Neodiprion lecontei: one gene and its partner. The protein of the gene in region 2 binds, or shares a complex with, the protein of the main gene of each other region. Links are inferred from orthologs where the notes say so. Each region holds a gene or a part of one and is shown on either strand. Other genes may lie near its edges.

The links. Proteins that work in one complex are often made in the same cells at the same time.
Region 1: the proteins of replication protein A 70 kDa DNA-binding subunit (region 2) and DNA-directed primase/polymerase protein are in contact, whole or in part, in a crystal structure (PDB 5N85), measured with the Homo sapiens proteins. The link is inferred for Neodiprion lecontei from reciprocal best matches to the Homo sapiens genes RPA1 and PRIMPOL. Residues at the interface, in NP_002936.1 of Homo sapiens: Arg31, Pro32, Ile33, Thr34, Thr35, Arg41, Arg43, Leu53, Ser54, Ser55, Met57, Asn85, Leu87, Lys88, Arg91, Arg92, Val93, Tyr118, Asn119, Glu120; in NP_001332824.1 of Homo sapiens: Asp514, Asn515, Gly516, Ile517, Asp518, Asp519, Tyr521, Phe522, Leu523, Glu524, Ala525.

Annotation. Positions count from the first base shown.
Region 1 is NC_060265.1:27,967,671-27,973,412, forward strand, and holds DNA-directed primase/polymerase protein, read left to right. Parts: upstream 1-1,652; 5' UTR 1,653-1,887; coding exon 1,888-2,220; intron 2,221-2,299; coding exon 2,300-3,108; intron 3,109-3,235; coding exon 3,236-3,518; 3' UTR 3,519-4,259; intron 4,260-4,357; 3' UTR 4,358-4,754; downstream 4,755-5,742. Other genes in the region: stAR-related lipid transfer protein 7, mitochondrial, read right to left, coding at 5,425-5,742. UniProt on the Homo sapiens protein: DNA primase and DNA polymerase required to tolerate replication-stalling lesions by bypassing them.
Region 2 is NC_060264.1:2,098,042-2,105,318, forward strand, and holds replication protein A 70 kDa DNA-binding subunit, read left to right. Parts: upstream 1-2,182; 5' UTR 2,183-2,474; coding exon 2,475-2,504; intron 2,505-2,576; coding exon 2,577-2,624; intron 2,625-2,950; coding exon 2,951-3,147; intron 3,148-3,276; coding exon 3,277-3,443; intron 3,444-3,675; coding exon 3,676-3,778; intron 3,779-3,862; coding exon 3,863-4,025; intron 4,026-4,173; coding exon 4,174-4,378; intron 4,379-4,469; coding exon 4,470-4,582; intron 4,583-4,665; coding exon 4,666-4,832; intron 4,833-4,918; coding exon 4,919-5,156; intron 5,157-5,298; coding exon 5,299-5,382; intron 5,383-5,462; coding exon 5,463-5,657; intron 5,658-5,786; coding exon 5,787-5,900; 3' UTR 5,901-6,671; downstream 6,672-7,277. Other genes in the region: ubiquitin carboxyl-terminal hydrolase 5, read right to left, coding at 1-468, 564-670, 749-925, 1,174-1,299, 1,379-1,474; ATP-dependent translocase ABCB1-like, read left to right, coding at 6,909-7,039, 7,118-7,175. UniProt on the Homo sapiens protein: As part of the heterotrimeric replication protein A complex (RPA/RP-A), binds and stabilizes single-stranded DNA intermediates that form during DNA replication or upon DNA stress.

The sequences.
Region 1 (5,742 bases), on a different chromosome or scaffold from region 2:
CCTGATCGATCTCCAAGACATAGGCTTTGTCAGCGATGACCTTCGGCGTCGTAGAGCCGCTAGTTTTCAACAATTGAGCACGCACGTGCCTGTTGAAAATTATAAATAACGATTATAACAGCGTCAACGGGTTTGTAGTTGTTATTTTTATCGCACAATTGGCTCGCGAGTCGTACCAGTAGCGACTTGACATGCAATTTGTGAAGAACAATGACCTAGGGCTATGTAAAAACACGATTGAACTTACTGAAAGGGCAAACGTATAATGCACGCTTGTATCCACATATATACATACCTGCGTATATCACTGTAGCGATCGTATATGACTTTTCATACTCGATATAATCGTGACAAATTGAGAATGGAATGTTATAAACTGAAAAGCACACTCAACACATGATTTATCTAGGAATACACCGAAAATATTTACGGACTTGGTGTAAGAACACGGTAACGGTCCAATCGCGATCGTCATTTGTTTAGCGTAGAAAAAAGTCAGTCGCTAGCAAACCGCGTAAAAGCGAATCTTTACGTGACTTTGAATTGTTTTTTTGACGGTCAGTTACCAAGGCCAGCCCCACAGACCGGATTTGTTTGAAAAAAAACTGTTAATTTAAGTTTCTCACAAATTCGAGTCACAGGACGCGATTCCAGCACGTTCGAACTCGTCAATGTCCCGAGATTCTGTGAGTGCTCTGAAGTTAGCGCTGCAGCAGCGACGCTTGCGGGGCAAAATGACAACCGAGTTGGAATAAATTTGAAAATATAATAACTTACATGCGGACAAGGTGATGAGCAAGGCAAAGCTTGTATGTTTCATAGTTTCCTTCCGTTTATAGCCGATTACGTAGTTCTTCCTGCTTCTTTATCGTTTTAACTCGATGCTAACAATTTTTATATCATTGCAGTAGAAAGCGCTCTGTGACCAAACTTTTGGAACTAATTTTCGATGACAAAAGCATGTCGGCAATGTATTCACGAACTGACGTTATTCATTGTCAGTAAATATCGATGAATTACCGACATTCGTTTACCTTCAAATATTAGGTGCAAATACCGATTATGTTTTACAGAGCATTATTTCTCGGAAGGCGCAAAAAACCACGTACGTTTTACGCACATTTATTTATCTATCCGCAAACACCAGGCATAGAATCGATGCAGACAGCTTCCAAAATAACGCAACGAATTCACACTAACTAGCTATTTGTACAGGCCGAAAAGAAAAACATACCTTTATTGGCGAAGTACTTGCGAGAGGCTCAGATTGCTGGGATGTAAGGGCATGGTAAGAGAAGCCAAAAGGTCGGGAGAAAATTACAGTATTCTACTATGCAAACGCGAATTAACACCGGAATTTCTTAAGACGGGTCAGTAAGTAAGTAAACAAAGCAATATAATTACCGCCGGACATACTCGGTCCCACCCAGCCGGACGTTATATTAGCCCAGGACTGAACGTCTTTACAATATATTATCTTCACGCAGCCGGTGTCTGGCACCATCTGGCACGAAATGGCGTCGCACGTTTGGTTCAAAGGGGCCGCCGATATGTGACTCGTGCGAGGCATCCGCGCATGCGCGAGTCAAGTTGTGCAATTGCGTTCAGCCGGCACGTCTGCGGGGGGGGGGGGGGAGGTATACAGCTACTGCTCTCGACAGGTTCCGACAGGCAACAATCGGACTACCGACTTTGTATTCCGTCAACCCCGTCAAAACAGAGATCTAGACTCAGGCAGGTTGAAGTGTCAAAATAAAGGAAAGTTTCTGACGTAAATTAGCCAATTCTGTGTTTTGAATTATCCAACGCCCAGAAGATCAAGGTGACGAACTTGAGAAAATATTTACTTTGGAAAGTAGATAAAAATCCACCGAAAAATCAACAATAATGAGTAAAATATCGAAAAATACATTTTATGGAAAAACATTGATCGAAAGTCACGCTCAGCATCAATCTAGAGTCAGGGAATTATCGTCGTCCATACACGATAGCGAAGAAGCTAAGATTAAGCGAAGACGGTTGTTGGGACCATCTGAATTTTGGGGTGAATTTTGGAGGCAGCAAGAAGCGTTGCTTGTAGCCGATCAAGGAAGTTCAAACTCAATGCATACCTTCGTTTTGCAATATGATGAGGGATACAGAAAATTCATTGTAGCGCACCCAGAAATCTACTGGCTTGTCGATGAATCTAGACCCAAGGAGCAGAGATGTTCATACGAGGTTTGATTTTTTTTTAATAAAAAAATTAATACGACTTGACAGAGCTGAAATATTCACACACCTGTTGTTCCAATATCAGGTTATACCTGACGGCTCTCCTTGCCACCTATATTTTGATTTGGAATTTGGAAAGGATCTAAACCCATCAAGCGATGGCTCAAAAATGACAAAAACACTGATCGATGTATTTTGTGCACATTTTTTGGAACACTGGGGTTTTCCTTGCAGAAGATCAGAGGTTCTAAGCCTGGACTCAACCACCGACGTTAAATTCAGCCGGCATTTAGTGTTCCGTGTGAAAAACGTTATGTTCAAGAATAACCAACATGCAGGACGGTTTGTTAAAACCATATGCTCTAATATTCGGCAAAGTTTGTTGCTAGACAATGCCACACGATCCTCCGTTGATAATATTTTAAGCCGCTTTCACAAAGAAGATTTGGCAGAGTTATTTATCAATACCACAAAGGGAAAAGAGCTCTTTGTAGATGAAGGAGTCTACACAAGAAACAGGCACTTTCGAATTTACAAGTCTACCAAGTTGGGAAAGAATTCTCACCTGACCGTGAGCGACGATTCTGAGTACATCCTCAGCACAACATACACGAACAAAGAATTGGGATTATTCTTAGACTCTTTGATATCTTATGTACCAAGTACTAAGAATTTGATTTTACTTGAATACCAGGATAAAAATTCGGTAGACGCGATTAAATATTCCAAAGAATGCTTAAGTCAGCGTCGGGTTTATGTCAGAGCTGAGAAGAAAATTGAATCACCATATCCTGACATCGATAAATTCATCTTAGACATTGTGAAACCTGGCAAAATTCGGGAAGTCAAACTTCTGAATAACAGCGTAATGTTATATGCATTCATAGATCATAGGTAAAATTAATATTTCTTACTGGTCAAATGCTTTTGAAAATTGAATTTGATGACATAGTTCGTAACGCATTCTATAAAATTCACCAAACTTGATACATATAAATTATTCGACTTTTTTCTGTTACAGATACTGTGCGAATATAGGCAGGCCACATAAAAGCAATGGGGTATATTGGGTTGTTGATTTGAATAACAAAGTAGCATTCCAAAAGTGCTACGATCATGACTGCGCTGGCTTTAAATCTGCACCCAGAGAATTACCAGAAAAAATATGTTTCGAAATGGACAAGGAAACTGACATCCTTCTGTCCTCTGTTCCTGACCCTCAAGACTGCTCTTTGCGTCAGACTGATAATTTCGTCGCACTAGAAGATGACGATTTAGAATTAGCAAATATCGATCTACCATAATCCACAATTTAGAAATTGATTTTTCTAGCATATTCTATCTAATCATTGTACATACATACACATATGCACGTAAAATATTAATATATTCAAACATCAGCTACCTTTTGGCGTTGCCATGCAATTGTAAAAATTCAAGATTTCAACAATATGTTTTTATACTCTGTACACGGATTAAAATATAGACATCTTGATTTTTACACACCTGTTGCCATGCTATCGCATAATAATTCTGAAACCCCGATAAAATTCAACTAACAATTCTAAATCTAATCTCAACGAAAAAGCGATAAACGCTACAAAGCCGAAATTATCATAGTTCTCGACGGCGTGCCGACCCGGCTACTGAACAGCGAACGGACAGCATTTGCAATATGAAAACCAAGTCTCGATACTTTAGACATTTTACGGGTAAATCTATTAGACAAGAAAAGTTGAAAAATTGGACTAGCAATATTGAAGAACGAAGTAAATCTACGATTACTCCAATGCAACGTATGGATCAAGCGGCTCATGAATTGGCACATAAAATTATTGGAAAAGATGGGGAAAAACTCTGATTAATATTGGATCGTCGAGCGTAACGTAGTAAATTCACCGCTTCGTGTACCAAAACGGCCGCTGGTTCGATATGAAATAACGGATAGCTCGGGATGCCAAATAACCGAAATACAGATGACTCAGTACCTCAAGTAACCGAAAGCCGAAAGTTTGGTGCGCCTTCGGGAGTCGATATCAATTCAGGTGAATTCACTTGTGATAATGCTGCATAGGACGTTGCACAATTCGCACTACGCTCGGTTTGTTTTGATATTAAAGCACGTTGTATTTATTTTTTCCAGGTTCTTCTTACAACCGCGACGTGAATGCAGGTTTCAACATTTTGCATCTCAAATAGGAACACCACATCTTGGAGAAACCTCTGCCAGACGAGTTTAAATAAATTTGAATGCAGTAATGATTTATTTGTGGCGATTTATTGTACTTAATTGTATAGTATATTTCTGATGGTTTTGTATAAAGAATTTTTAGCATCGACTGTACTTTGATTACAAACTGTGACGTTTGTGTGAGAAGTACGACTCGATGATGGAAGTTTTTATGCAACATTTTGCAGTGTATCGCATTATATTGTTGTACCTTTGGCATAAAAATAGATGAATAATGCGTCTCTAGATTAAATCAATGATTTTCAAAATTCATTTCACGTCAGATGGTCTTTCTTTTTGAAATGATTCCTATAAGGTTGAAAAAGTGCAAAAGCATCGAATTACATGGCGCAGTGTCCATCCACATGAAATGATTACATGACCATAATTTAAATATTCATTATTTCTGTGTAAAACCAGAAAAATTATTCAAAATCTAACACTTAAATTGTCTATATAAGATTTAAAGCAAAATACTTCACTTGATTCAATTAAATTTGATTCGTACTATGATAGATACTATTTCAAAGCTTCTTTTCTCTCTCTCTCTTTCTCTCACACACACACACACACATTTACACTTGCACACGATTGAAATAACACTATTGCATTAACACACCTATGACAAACCAGACAAAATAGGTTTACGTTTAATAACATCTCCACTTGACCTGAACTTGATTTCCAGACGTATCAGTCGTAAAATTGAATTAACTAGAATTTTTTCCCAGTGGGACCTTGATTTGGCAGTGGTAGACTTACTAGCATGCTTCAACTTACAGTACACAATTGTTGAACAAGATCCTCCACGTTTATGAATACTGTATAAGTTCGCGAAAATAAATTCGACAAATCAGAGAGAAAACGCTTCGTCTTTAAAATGAGAATGCATTACTGATAATCTTTTCAGGTCAAGTAGCAGCAAATCTGTTTGCTAAAATTGATTTCTTCTAAACAAGGGATATATGTGGCTTATCGTGTCACGTGAACAGTCGGGACGGTAAGAAGTAGTGTAAAAAGCCACGTTCTTCATCTGGTGTAGGGCCCATTACGCTTTCTCTTTTGTCTTCTGCTTTATCTTCCGTATTTTCTGCACTTCGTTCTTTTTTGTCACTTCTCTCTGACTTTGGTTCTTCGTCCCCCTTTTCTTTTGGTGTTTCTGTATTTTCCTTCACTTCGGATACGTAACCAACATCACTAACAGATGAATCACTACACGTCTCCAGAACAATCGGCTGATTTTCGACTATATTGACCATTGCAGATTTTGCATCGTTCGATTTGCGGCTCTGGTAATC
Region 2 (7,277 bases):
TTACCCAAATTAACGAGTCCCGTGTATCCAGGGCCGTAAATAGCAGTTAATTTGCTCGCAGCCTCCTGAAGTGCTACCCATTCATCAAATTTCTGATTAAGGTCCAACTCTAATTCGACCATAGATTTATCAGTCTTCTCCATATGGGTAATATTGATGCCCCAGTGTGCTAGATGCGTGATAAGATGCGGATCTTCAACCATGTCATCTTCATCGTAAGAAAAAACATCCCCTTTTCCTTCTTTGGTAATTGTTCCGAGCTTAACAGCCAAAGGGTGGCCCGTGGTGCGATAGTGTTCAATGGCATGATCATTCCCACCAGTTCCGTCATAAAACTTCCGCCCGCAGAGTATTGACCCATCGGTTAAATTGAGCCATAGGTTCGTGGTCAAATCACAGTTCTCACATTTCCAGCCGCTTGGAGGAATCTTCTTTCCATTGCCCAACTGTTTTAAATTTGCGGCATGCCTGGATAATGAAAAAATAACCTGGTTTAGCCTTGGTAATAATAATTCAGTACATGTAAAGCCAACATTATCAATTTCGTCAGTTTTGTCTATTACTTTGAAACTATTCTCGCTTCTCCGTCCCAAGTTCCAGCTAAGGCTTCTGTTTCTGCTAACTTTGAGGCAGACTCTGCTTCCAATAGAGATTTTATGGCAGTTTTAACCTGGCGAATAATTTAACGATTGATTTAAATTCTTCACTGGATACTGCTTATTTGCGCACTACTTAATATAGCACATACTTGTTCAGGCAAATCATCCTTAGGATACGGTATTGTTACATAATTGGGCAATATAACAATCTCGTAGGATTCGTCATACTCGTATTTTTTAGTATCCGGTGTGAATCCTCCCACAACCCCGATCGCTAAACGGGTTATTTTTTTCTCAGGACCATCCCCTTGCTGCTCGGCAGGTATCTGTAATACGTTATAGATAAATAGTTGGAAAAATAAGTGCCATAAATGTCAGTATCCAGAAGTATATTTTTAATTGTTGTTTCACCATCTGTTTCCACTGCATTCAACGACTCTCGTAAACATATTTAGAGAAAGACTTATACGTTATGCCTTGAGAACTTAGCCGTAACATTTTGGAATAAATTTTGCAGAATGTAACTGACGTATGGTAAGCTATAATTGAAAACAAGTAAAGGAAGCATACTTACTTCTTTTTTTGATCTCTTCAAGCGAAGAAATACAGGGTTATTGGTCCTTTGATAGTAAGCATCGACATGATCCTGACCTAGTCCCAAATATGTTGTAAGATTGAGGTAGAGTCCATTCGGCGATTCCTTGTATAGAATTTATACGATTAGACTTGATACGGAAAAATGAGAGGTACAGTGCGACAGAATAAAATATGAAACTCACTGGTGTGTCAAACGAGAAAACACATTCATCTTTATATATTTTGTCTCCCCGCTGGGGTATTTTTATTTTATTTAAGTACTGTACTAGCTCGCCCATCGTGTCAAACAGTAGATCTAATTTAATATACGTGGGAAATTAATATCAGGAGGATTCTTTACGCACTAGACAGTCCGTAGTTTCATTCTTTTTGTAAATATGATGAATATAACCAACAAATATCTAGCCGGCCACAATTGATGTCAATGATTTGCGTTAATCAAAGGGAAACCGATGTGGAACCGGAAATCAACAGTCAAGCGGCGTTTTACTGCAACACATAGTTATACCTATGTATAGTTTCAAGAGATTGTCCCGGTATGTAATAGCGAATGCGAAACCGTTGGCTATGCATTCCCAAAATTAGCTGGCAGGGCTAAAAACTTCGTATGATAGAGATACAGCTACCGCCGAATTCGGCAGTGCAAAAGAAATAAGAGATTGTTGACAGCACTGGGAGCTAACACCCGTATTCATAGTCCCTCCTTATCTCAAGGATAAAGAACGCCTTGATGAAGGCTTCCTTGAATCTCGAGGCGTCCTCGTTTCATAGTCACAACTTGGCTCTCCCTTCCAGAAGGAAGACATATTTAGGGATATGTGATTGCTTATAGTGGTAAAACTGCTGATGAGAGTGTATAACCTCAAAGAAGTTAACCTGTAAACTGGCTGTGATCGCGTCATACGGGTCATAAGTGCACAGACGCCAAGCGCAAGCGCAAGCGTTGGCGACATGAAACGAAACAGCCAATCGCAGTGCCGAAGGTTTCCTCAAGGAAGCTCGAGATCTGCCTTGAAAGAAGGAGGCCAATAAGATTCCTTATTCTGTCGAGGAAGGTCTATGAAATGTGAAATGAGGAACAAGGAATCCTTGTTATTTCATTGTTTGGCGCGAAACAACTTGTCCGGTGTCTTCGAGGCACGCTTCACCAACCTCACTTCCTTTACGTTTTAATGACACTGAGCAAGTGAATCTCCTACTCCGCATCACGGTTCTTCAAACTTTCAGAGATATTTTTTGAGAATTGAACAGGTGACCGCTTCTCGTTACTCCGGAAAAATGTACGAACTTAGTGAAGGAGCCTTGGACGTAAGTTTCCTGACGTATCTTATTAACATATTCGTGTAATAATCGTTCATGTCAATGAATTTTTTCCCACAGCAAATCATGAACGGTGTCGAGGTCGAAAAGCCGATTTTACAGATATTGGTGAGCAGATCCATTCAATATTATACGTGATTCATACACTGGATACCCATAAAACAGAATTTCATTGTTAACCATCTGCCAACAGTCACGCTGAAGCATCAATCCACCAATACTCCAATCTAATAACGATCGAACAGTCGCTTAATCCACATACTTCAATTCATTCTAATACAATTGAGATTGAATTATTCTTTTAACTATTATGATACATCCTTGAAGTAAAGCGCCTTCGTTGTCTCAGATGTTTAATATTTTGTTTTCAAACTTCCCCTGTTCTATCTACTATTTCTGGAAATTCTTGTTTCGTCATAATACTTTTCTTTCAGGGACACAAAAAGCTGCAATCGGCGAGCACTCAGGAGCGCTATCGCCTCCTAGTTTCAGATGGTAAAAGAATTAACTCATACGCGATGTTGGCTACACAGCTAAACTCGCTGATTACCAACGACCAACTGACAGAGTTTTCCGTGTGCCAAGTTAATCGATACGCAATTAGTATGATCAACAATTCAGGAACACAGAAGTAAGTTCACAGGAAAACAAGTGTTACATGTTCCATATCACTATTTTTTTTTATTAGAATCGTCGGACATATTTTTTCATGGATTGCTGATGTTTTTTCTGAATTTCGGTTTACTATTTGATCAATCAGGAGAGTGATGGTCATACTCAACATTGACGTTAAGATTCCGGGCACTGAAGTGGGCTGCAAAATAGGAAATCCTACCCAGCAAGACGGCAATGTACAGAACGGAGATTCTACTCCTGCTGCCCGATCAGCAGCGCCTGTACCAAAAACTAATAATTCCTCAAATTCTGGTAAACCGTGAAAAACACTTGTGTTATTGCATGAATCAGAATCGTCGGTATTATCCAATCTTAATTAAATACTATTTTGATACTGTTAAACACTAAAAGATTCATATTTACTTATTTCTTTTTAATTAACCTTTTTATTCTTATGTTATGCTATGGCGAAACACTATTTTTTTTTTTTTTTTTTTTTAACTGAATTTGTGGCAAAATTATATATAAATCTCACTTTTAATAGTTCGTCCTGGAAGACAGCAGCAATCTTATCTTAATGATTCAGTATCCTCTGGTGCTGGTATCTCAACTACACCGATAGAAGCCCTGAGTCCTTATCAAAACAGGTAATCATGTCATTTAGCAGTTTTAGTTTTTGTGGTGTAAAAAATATGCAACTACAAATTGAAAGTTGTGTATTTACTTAACAGGTGGGTAATCAGAGCTAGAGTAGCCAATAAGTCAGCTATAAAAACGTGGAGCAATGCACGTGGCGAAGGTTCCCTCTTTTCTATGGATTTAGTCGATGAGACTGGCGAGATTCGCTGCACTGCATTCAGAGATCAATGTGACAAATTTTACAACATGATCGAGGTATGTTCAGATTAACTCATTTTCATGCAATCATTTGTGACTACTTGTGACTACGCATTAACTTGTGACTAATATCAGTTGTTATAGTAACGTAATATATTGTTAAAATTATTCAAATTTTTTTTATCAAGTTTTTCTTTCTTACTAGTTTGGAAAAATTTACTATATTTCACGTTGTCAACTGAAGCCAGCGAACAAGCAATTCAGTAATTTGAAAAATGAATACGAGATGACAATGACATCCGAAACAGAGGTTGTTCCTTGTCACGACGATTCTGACGAGATCCCAACAGTGAAGTACGATTTTGCACCAATCAGTGAAATTGATGGAAAGGAGCCGAATGCAATAATTGGTATGTTTTTGTTATTCCCATTCACGGGCCTGTGTTAAGAAATGAGATATCAAATATTTTTTTACTCGTACTGGTATATTCTTTTTTCTAGATGTGCTTGGCGTTTGCAAATCTTGTAGTGATATCACAACTGTAGTTGCGAGGACTACAAGAAAAGAGCTTAAGAAGAGGGATGTCAATCTTGTTGACGAAAGCAATACAATGGTACCAGAAGAATTTCTAGCATATCACCACAAGTTCAACATACCTAGTAAAACTGACTAATTGTCACATCTTATTCAATTCAGGTTACTCTCACATTATGGGGAACCCAGGCGGACGAGTTTGATGGATCTTCTAATCCTGTTGTTGCCGTGAAAGGTGCACGTCTTGCCGAATTTAATGGTGGAAAATCTCTGTCTACCCTTAATTCGTCAGTGCTCCAGATTGACCCAGACATTCCCGAAGCTCATAGGTACAAACTGTCAATCTTCCGATTCTCATAGCAACAGATTTGCACACAATGAGACAGTTTGACTGAATATCATTGTTACTTATTAGGCTCCGTGGTTGGTACAACACAACTGGATGCACAGAGAATGTGCATACCATTTCTAAGGGGCTGGGCGGTGGCAGTGGGGGAATGAATGGTCCGTGGTTGACGTTCAAGGAGGCTAAAGACATGCAGCTGGGCTGCAGAGAAACTCCCGACTACTTCATCGTCAAGGCAACTATCAATATGATAAGGACTGAAAACTCTCTTTACAAAGCGTGCCCGACCGATGACTGTAAAAAAAAAGTAAGTAACTCGTGATACTGATGAAGCGCGCACATCTGGAAAAATTGCCCTTAAAAATGTCACACTTTGAAACAAATGCCTCAGTGAAAGAATAATGTACCCAAATGTAGCCCAACAATAATTTTTTTTTTCCATACAACAGCTTATCGATCAGTCCAATGAAATGTATCGTTGTGAAAAGTGTAACAGGAACTATCCAAACTTCAAATATCGACTGCTGGCCAGTGTGAGTATCAAATACAATATTAGTGTGTCAATTTCTGAGAGTGCAGTCTTGTGACTCAATCATGAATATTCTTGTCTCAGATCAATCTCGCAGACTGGACAGACAACCAATGGGTAACCGCGTTCAATGAGGAGGCTGAAAAGATTTTGGGAATGACGGCACAAGAAATTGGTGAATTGAAGGATAATGATGATGAAGCGTTTCTTGAAAAGTTCGGTGAATCTGCTTTCAAAACTTTCCTTCTCAAATTGAGAGTAAAAATGGAAAACTATAGCGTAAGTCATTCAGCTTCCATTCAAATTTGTAGGTTACTTTTTCAGGATATCAAATATAATTTTTATCCAGTTCTAAATTGGAACAACTGTTTTTCAACACCTAAGCCTAAATGCCATTTGTTTTTACAGGATGAGAACAGATTGAAGTCCACCGTAGTGAATGTGACCCCGCTGGATATTAAAAGCTACAACAATCATCTGATCGCGCAAATTAAAGAACTTTCCAACATGGGCAAGGCATAAATTTTTAGCCCAAGTTTCGATTACTTAAATGTTGAAACGTTATTGTAAGGTATTATTATTATTATTATTGTTGTTATTATTGTTATTTTCACTATACCGAGCTTGTAACAGCGGTTTGTACAATTTATGCAATGCTGATTCGGTTTAATGTTATCAATATATTAAGTTAATTTATATAAGTGTCCCATGAATATTGCTACTCTAATGAATATTTTTAATTGATCACCAATATTCCACGATCTTTGCTCTATGTGCTCGAATATATTGTACCATTTATAAATACGGTATTGTTCCGAATATACCCCGAGGTTTTTTTTTTTTTTTTGTTAGCATCCGCCAAGATCGTCCTCGTCTTATATGTAGTTAACTAAGAAAAACTCCCTCAAATACTGTCTTAGAATTGGGGGTTGGCTTGTACTCTGAACAATACGGTACATATATTTACTCGTATACTTATTAAAATAAACTTCGAATTTTGCTGTAAATTTGGTCGTATTTTAACTCGAGATACGTGAACTGAAAATCGGCAGCTATGAAGAATGTTGGCAGTTATGCTGAGGTCTGATTAGCCTGGAAATTTTCGTAGGCTCACGATCAATGATAATAACTCTAACACCCCTAATACATTTATGAGAAAGCAAGTTCTGGAACTGGTAATATTTCGTATCAAGGTCGTTTTTTTTAAATTTATGGGCATATTACTAAATAAGAAAACTTGAGAAAAATTATTTTAGAATGCTTTATAAATAAAAAATTGAAGTTAAAGGAAAATGAAAGAAGTGAATTAAACATTTTTGTCAGACAGATATTTTGCTACAAAACTGATCATATCTGATAATCTTAATTCAGCAAGTCACTTACTACATTCTGATAAGCTTATGTTTCTGACTATAAATTGACAAAGTTATTTTTCTATATCTTGATAGTGTACTGATATGACACGTGTTGCTTGGAATATCTCGTATAATATAACTTAGTATAGTGTCAGTCGACATTGACAAAACAATCATGAAGAGTTCTAAAAAATTGAAACTAACTCTGCCAGATGAAAAACGTGCAACTGAATTTCCTAACACAGATCCCATTAAAATAACAGGGTTTCGAATTAACGAACACACAATTGATGGAACTGAGAAAAGGTCAGTTATTTTGAATAATAATGAAAAGCTTGTATTACTTTATACATTGTACTTACGTTTTTACACATTAATTTTCAGCCAAACAACAGAGTTAACGAAACTCACAAAATACCGACCAATTGCATATTACAAGTTGGTAAGTATTTTATTTACTATGACTTGGTTGTTCCACCTCCCTGGTAAAATTTACCTTCTAAATAAACTGCTAAAGTGCCAATGTAATTAAGATGAGGTGCCT